Linked DNA regions of Oryzias latipes. The protein of the gene in region 1 interacts with the protein of each later gene in a pairwise test. Links are inferred from orthologs where the notes say so. Each region holds a gene or a part of one and is shown on either strand. Other genes may lie near its edges. The genes, in order: wbp11 and c17h5orf22.

What was found.
Region 2: the proteins of wbp11 (region 1) and c17h5orf22 interact in binary tests that used the Homo sapiens proteins (3 or more experiments, as listed by UniProt). The two-hybrid records come from large-scale screens. The link is inferred for Oryzias latipes from reciprocal best matches to the Homo sapiens genes WBP11 and C5orf22.

Annotation. Positions count from the first base shown.
Region 1 is NC_019866.2:20,478,423-20,482,347, forward strand, and holds the start of wbp11 (WW domain-binding protein 11), read left to right. Parts: upstream 1-1,095; 5' UTR 1,096-1,262; intron 1,263-1,648; 5' UTR 1,649-1,671; coding exon 1,672-1,735; intron 1,736-1,815; coding exon 1,816-1,847; intron 1,848-1,955; coding exon 1,956-2,049; intron 2,050-2,281; coding exon 2,282-2,478; intron 2,479-2,700; coding exon 2,701-2,831; intron 2,832-2,911; coding exon 2,912-3,078; intron 3,079-3,163; coding exon 3,164-3,349; intron 3,350-3,448; coding exon 3,449-3,568; intron 3,569-3,670; coding exon 3,671-3,925. UniProt on the Homo sapiens protein: Activates pre-mRNA splicing. May inhibit PP1 phosphatase activity.
Region 2 is NC_019875.2:13,153,350-13,157,274, forward strand, and holds the start of c17h5orf22 (UPF0489 protein C5orf22 homolog), read left to right. Parts: upstream 1-1,328; 5' UTR 1,329-1,506; coding exon 1,507-1,575; intron 1,576-2,883; coding exon 2,884-3,029; intron 3,030-3,810; coding exon 3,811-3,925.

The DNA.
Region 1 (3,925 bases):
TGTTCACATAGTTGTCAACTGTATCATTATTCTGTGGCCAATATTCTGTGGTCTCCAGCTCAGAGGCCTTGTGGTGGAGGGGTTGTGGTGGAGGTTGTGAGTTCAAATCCACCGCTGAGTCAGATCAAAGACTTTGAAAATGGGACCCAATAACTTCCTGCTCAACACCCAGCATGAAGCGGTTGAATTGGAGGGTTAAACTACCAAATTGTCCTTGATAACATTGTTCCGGAGAACGAATTTCCCCCACCTTGGTGCATGGCAGCTAATGGGACTTTAAAGAAACAGCTGATTTACCACAACCCTTACACTCCTCTTACACCTCCCCACCACAAACACACAACAAAACGATGAAGACGTGGGAGCTCAAAGCCTTCTTCTTCAATGATGTTCTGGTGTATGGCAGCATCATTGGGAAGGTTATCCGTTTAGATGAGCAGCTTCCCCATCTGCATCAGTCAGAAAGAGAAAATGAGCTGTCACAGTTAACCTGAATCTTAACTAAACCTAAGAGCAACAGTTCAATTCCATGTAAACAATACTACTAGCTCTCAGCCAGAAAGGCCAAGTGGGCCCCATATGGTTTAAAAGTGAGCAGAAAATGTGGGCAATTGTCTGCAGTTTCTGTGGTGGCCTCACATTGGCTTAAGTGGGCATTCGGTGAACTGGTCCACTTTTTCTGCCCACTTTTAAACATATTTTGCCCACTTGGCCTTTCTGGCTGGAATCGGTGCTTGTTATTGTCATTGCTTGAAAAATATGTCATTCTATTTTTTAAAAATGTTTTAAACATCACATCATCATGCATTTTTTCATATTGTTAATATTAGTACTCGGTAGTTAGCAATGGCAGTATATTGTGTTTCCATTCTCTTAAAATGGCAAAAAACAATCAAACAAACACACATTTTAATAAATAAAATACTTTATAAATATTTTATTTTGTCAGGCAAATACTAAAGGTCGGCATTTGATTACAAAAAAGAAGATGTTTGGCCATAAAATTAGCAAATAACAAAAACTTTCAAACAAACTAAAAATACTCAACAAAAAGTATCTTATTTTGAAATTTTATGACGTCAAAATCGTGTTTCCGCTTTTGCCCGCGCCAGTAAACATGGCGGACGGCTAACGTTGCATTCATACACATTTAGCCCTAAAGTGTTGGGTTTTCTTTCGGTTGTGGCTTTATTTTTTTGCTTTAGGTGTCACGGAGAGCGTGACAAACCCATCGTGGTCCACCAGGTTTTCCTGAAGTAAAGGTAGAGGCGGCGTTGACTAATTTGTTGCAGTTGATGCTAAAACGGGCGTAGCCACAAGTGCAAGCTAACGCGCTAAGCTAGCGAATCTCTGCTGGAGTCCAAGCTTTTTGCTTCGATATGCTTTGCCAGCAGCCTGAATTCCTTCTTTGTTTTACCAAATTATGTAAAAATAAGAGCCAAGAGTTCCGTGTTTACCTGCTAGCTCAACTATTATAAAGAGAAACAGTTAAACTTCCTTCAAATATTAATTTAGCTTTGTGGGATCATAAAACTTACCATCAGTTTGGTATAAAACAGTAACATCAAGGCACTCTAACCACATTTTAGAATATGATTGTAGTTTTTGTTTGTTTACCTCATTACATCGTTTATTCTGCACTGGTTAGGTTAAACGAGACTGACCGCAACAATGGGGCGACGTTCAACCTCCTCCACCAAGAGTGGGAAGTTCATGAATCCCACCGACCAGGCCAGTAAGTACCGACCCGTGCGAGCAGTGATGATCAGATCCAGTCAACATGACTCATTTGTGTTTGTGTTACCTACCTTACAGGGAAAGAGGCGAGGAAAAGGGAGTTAAAAAAGGTACTTGGACTGTTAAGCTGAATATTTGTTGGCTTTTTTTATTCATTCATTTTTTTTTTCTAAACAATTTTATTCTGGATTGCATTTCTTTGCTTTTTCTTTGCACAGAACAAGAAGCAGAGGATGATGGTAAGAGCAGCAGTGTTGAAAATGAAGGATCCCAGACAGATCATCAGAGATATGGAGAAGCTAGATGAGATGGGTAAGCAGCTCCTATTTGCTTTTTTCACTTTATTTTACATCTTTAACCTCCTAGAACCCAAGTTAATCTTTGAGCTGACTCTCTACACACATAGTCATGTAGCCTCAGTTAAGCAGAATTAACTACTGCGGTATTATAACCCATAAATTGATGTCCATGCATGTGGATAAGCTTTTGAGTCACTCTCCATCCTAATTTAAAATAACATTTTGATTCTTTTTCTTGTCTGCAGAGTTTAACCCAGTTCAACAGCCTCTGCTGAATGAGAAAGTACTGAGGGACAAGAGGAAGAAGCTGCGTGAGACATTTGAGCGCATCATCCATTTGTACGAGAGGGAGAACCCGGAAACTTACAAGGAGCTGCGCAAACTGGAACTGGACTACGAGACCAAGCGAGGCCAGCTGGCTCTTTATTTTGATTCAGTGAAGGTAGCTTTAGTTCTTCCTGATCCTTTTTCCTTCCTTTGTTCACTTAAAGATCCTTTATTCTTTTCTTAAAGTATTAATTACCTTTTGAAAAATTTTAAATTAGGTTTTACCTCCAAGTCACACACACAGTTTGGTTTATTTCAAGTCTTTTTGGCTTTTTTTTTTTTTTTTTTTTTTTTTTTTTCTAGTTGCAGGTGTTAATATTTGCATTTTTTCCTCCAGAATGCCGAGTCAGTGGAGGTCGACAGTATTCCTTTACCTGACATGCCCCACGCTCCTTCAAATATTCACATCCAAGACATCCCATTGCCAGGGGCGCAGCCTCCCTCCATTCTGAAGAAGACCCCTTTTGGGTTGGTTTTGTTCAAGTTTCTCTTCCTGCATTCTGTGGGATGTAATATGTTATTTATTGTTCTCATTTTGTTTTTCATAGCAAGCCACTTCTTTCTTCATCCACTGGACCGGTGATGGCATCAGTACCTGGTGTCCCGCGTTTACCTCCAGGAAAGAAGCCACCAGGGCCCCCACCTGGACCCCCACCTCCTCAGGTCCTGGCTCTCTATGGAATTCCTTCTCGGAGAGCTTACAGCACAAAAGCCGGTAACATTCAGACACATCTATGTCAGTGTGTGTGTGTTTTTTTTAAATCTCCTGCTCCTCTTACCTTTTCTTTTTCTCTGCAAAGAATCCTCCATTCCTGGTTTAGATAGAGACGTGGAAATGGAAAGGGATCAGGACAGTGGCAGTGAGAGCGACAGAGATGACCGGGACGATGACAGCGACTCTGAGGAAGACAGCGAGGAAGAGCGAGAAGGAGGGGACAACGAGCGGCAAGATGACGACAAAAAGAGGGAGGAGAACAAAGACAGAGGTAAAAAAAAAGGAAACAAAGATGCTGATCAGCATCCCTGAGTGCATTTTTTTTAATATAATGTCTTGTGTTTTTTTCTCCGGCTCGTATTCCCGGCAGGTCGGAGTGTGCGTTTTGCAGACATGCCAGCGGAAGGAGATGGGAAGAAAAAGAAGAAAAGAGTTGTGAAAAAGAGCAAAGCCATCACTCCTCTGCAGGCCATGATGTTGAGGATGGCAGGTGAGGACGAGGGCCACATCCACATCTCTACAGCATTACAGCTGCCTTTTATTCTCAATATATTTAAATATTTATATCTATTCGCTGCTTTTCTCTTCTCAGGTCAGTCGATTCCTGAGGAGGATGAAGACGAAGAAGAAGAGGAAGAATATACGGATGGATCTGACAGCTCTGACACAGAGGAGAGGGGATCAAAGGGAGAAAAGCAGCCTCATTCTTTGGCTGGTCAGAATCTGCCTCCTACTGCCGGAAATGTGGCACAGCAAGGTCCTCCACCCATGCAAGGTCCTCCAATGACTGGACCTCCACCTCTCGGCCCACCTCCAGCTCCTCCAATGAGGCCCCCTGGTCCTCCTT
Region 2 (3,925 bases), on another chromosome or scaffold:
ACGACATTTAAATTAAAGTGAAGGACTAGTTTTAAGCACCCCTAAAAACATCAACACCATCTTAATTCTGTCAAAACAATAAGCACGTGTGACCCATAGACTCTTAAATTCTGTCCGTTTCAAAGCTCAGCATCATCTGTGCAGCTGATGAAATTGGGATTCTGACTCCAACAATTCACTTAAAGTCCTTTTTTTGCTAAAATGTGATTTGACATCCCTGGCTCTCCTCGAGCTACAGAGTTGCATTTTACTAGATATATAATAAAAATTCATGAATATTTATTTAAAAGTTATTTAACCAACAGATACTAAAAGACATCTAATATGCTGTCTTTTCTTTTAACAATTGGGTTTTGTTCCATATTAAATTGTTGTCAACAAAACATGAAACGAGCTTCTGCTTTAATAGTTCATTATGTTACTCCTTTTTTTTTCTTTTTTTTTAAACTTGTTCTGTCCAACAGCTGGGCAAACAGATGAGAGCTGAAGGCTTTGAAGATTTATATCAAAATTAAATCCAAAACATAAAGTTCCACAATTTCATTGAAAAAGCTATGACGAATATCTACACGGTTACATGAGAGGACGCGGATGACAGAATAACATGTCTATCAAAAAAAATTCACAATTCATTTTATACTAGGACTCAACTACAGTACGATATGTACAAACAATAACATTTTTTTACATGCAAAAAGAAAATGATACCTTTGACAGTTTGTGTTCCGTTACAACAGTATATTTTACCTTAACAACAGGGGTCATGAATCTTCAGACAAACCAGTGTAACTTTTGTTTTAGAAAAATATTCTGTCTGAACATATTTAATATAAAACATATCAACAACAACATTGACTGTGTTTTAACACACTGACAGGTTGACAAAAACCTGATGTAAAATAAAGAAAAATTCCAAGGTAATTTCTACAAGGATGTAGATTCATATCTGTAAAAAAGCTTACATGGGAAAAATGCAGCATAAATGTGTGGAGAGGAGACGAAAGGAAAAATCCCCCAAAACAATATCCAATTTGTTTAATTTTTGCACTGACCATACTTTTGCTCAAAAAAAATCATGCATAAAGAAAAATTGGATTCTGATTATATTCACGAGAAAGAAAAAAAGCCAGAAAGAATAGTTAAGCCTTTTATACATGATTTGATGAAAGGGTAACTTGTCCAGTTGTGATGATAAAATAAAATCGTCTTAGTTTTTTATTTTATTTATCAGCAGTTAAAATAATAAAAAGTTTAGCAAAAGTAAAATTAAGACGGCATACACTGTAATTTGGACGGCACTGTTTATTATCACCCTGTTTCTACCCGGACACAATAACAGTGACGATCTCACTTTCCCCGCCCCGCGGCATTGAATGTGGAAATTATTATTATTTCTTAATTAGGTGCTTGTTTGTTTTTTTATTATTAAAGGAGGACATACACCTAAGAAAAAAACCGTTGTGTTCACTTTGATATAGGAAAAACTGTAGGTGTTTTCGTGTTTGGATGAGTTCAACGCCGCTAAAGAGGTCGTACCGGGATCTGCCGGTGTGGATCGTGGAGGACCACCACCATGTAAGCAGACAAACATACAAACTTGATTTCCTTAACGTTTATAGCTGTTACTTCAGGATCTATATTAAACCAACAGATGAACAGACGCGTAACTGTAACAACGACTTTAAACTACACCGTTAACCAACCTGATAGCATTTCATCCAAAATAGGCGTGGATATGCTGGAATTACTAGACTCTAGTTAGGGACAGATCTGTATATCACCATTTATTATAATCAATAGAAATAAATGCATATAAATCATCTAAATTCAATGACAGAACACGGCAGGAGTTGTATCATGATATGTGGAGATTTCAATGAACACTCTGGGAGAAAAGAAGAAGAAAACAAAAAACAGTGAGGTCTTTGAGCAATTTATGGATGAGAGAAATTTGGTCCGGATCAATGGTAGGAGGAGGTCACAAATAATTGCACACATAGGGAACATATCAGCACGAGATCTAACACTGTACCGCAAGATCTTGAGCTGACAACACATCAAGGGTGGAAAGTGCAAGGAGACAGACTTTATAGTAATTTTAATGAGGGTTTATGGGGGAAAGGATGTGTGTCAGAGGATAAACAGCGGGTTGGATTTTTGATACACCTAGATGAAATAAAATACATTATATGAGTAAAAAAAAAAAAAGAGAGAATTTGAGACTTTTTACCTCATAAGAAAGAGGCATTTAGGATGATGCAATTAAAGGGTCTAAAGAAGAGCAAACAAATATAGAGAGAAACAGAGGTATCAAGGAAGACCTGTCATTTTAAAATTTAGGAGTATAAAAGATTTCAGACAAAGGTAAGAAAAATCAATAAAAAGACAAAGAGAGCTGGAGAAGATATTGTGCCAAACTAGTCAAACTACCCCAGAAAGTGAACTAAGAAAGATAAAAAGTATTTGAAGAAAATTGAACTTATCCAGTGTGTTATAATTGTGGGGTTTAATAACTATAACTAACAAGAATACATCAGATTTAATAGTTGATGCAATTCATTGTTCAAGGAGGACTTTAAAGCAGTTGATATGAAGTCTCTGGGTAAAAAACAAGTTTCTTATAAAATGCTTTAAAAAAAATCTAATTACTATTCCAACAAGTGATTCCATAAAGGGTTTAAAGATATAGTTGCTGGAAAATTTTGAAACAAATTTGTACATTCTTTTTCATTTTTTACCGCATCGACTCTTGCATAGACACTGTGTGTTTTTATCGATGAAGAACAAAAGTCACATTTTATTGGCCTTCTTTTCAGTCCTTGGCTTTAAAAGTACCGTAAGAAGAATGTGAATTTATCGTATGAAATATCTGCTTTCTGACAGGTGGTGCAGCACATATACAGGGCCATCGCCTCAAGACATCTCCCACCGAGTAATATCAAGATGATTCATTTGGACTCGCACCCAGATCTTCTCATCCCAGTCAACATGTCTGCTGACACAGTCTTTGAAAAAGAAAAACTCTTCAGGTATCGTTCTTGAGTCAAGCAATCAGCCCTTTAGCACTGAATCATGACAAATGACAAAAATCCCTGTACAGGTGGAATGGTTGGAGTGGATACTGCAATATTTAGGGATTAGAGGCAAAGTTTTTGCTGCTCTTCTCAATTCCAGATTATTTGTTTTCCTCCAGTTCTTCAGTTAACAGTGCAGGAAAAACTGTAAAAAGTAAGGACAGCACCGAATGAAGTCTAAGACAGCAGAGCACAATCCTACTCTTGCTCCTGGACTGACCAGGCTTCATGATGTGCTAATGTGGCGAAGAAACAAGACTCCAGTGTTTAGCCTCCTAGGATACAATGTCTTTTGCATTTTGCTGTCCCCATGTCTGTGATGCTTCCTCACTAAGGAAATGTATCTCATCTATTTAGGATTTTTTTTTATTGCTTTCCAGATCAGAATTCAGCGTTTTTCTCATTATACCAGGAAAGGTCTACAGTAGTTTTTATTTTTCTTGCATTGGCTTTTATTTTTATTTCCTTGAAGCCTATTGACACAAATATGCATCAAACCACTTCTGCTCTAACATTTAAAGTTACCTTAATTTAGTATCTACTTGAAAGCAAAAACATAAGTGGTTATTTTTCAAAGCTGATAATAAATTCAGGTATCATGGGGTCAAGAGTGAACTGATTGGACAAAAGCTTTAAAGATCCCAAAGGCCTAGTAAACTGTGATGTTTGCTTCATCATTACTTGAGTTGGTAAATAGATACATTTCAAAGCTAAACAGGCTTTCTATTTTTTTCAGTGAGTTGAGTATTGAAAACTGGATAATGCCCATGGTGTATGCTGGTCACGTGTCCAGTGTGGCGTGGTTGCATCCATACTGGGCCCAGCAAATCCGAGACGGAGAACAGAAAATG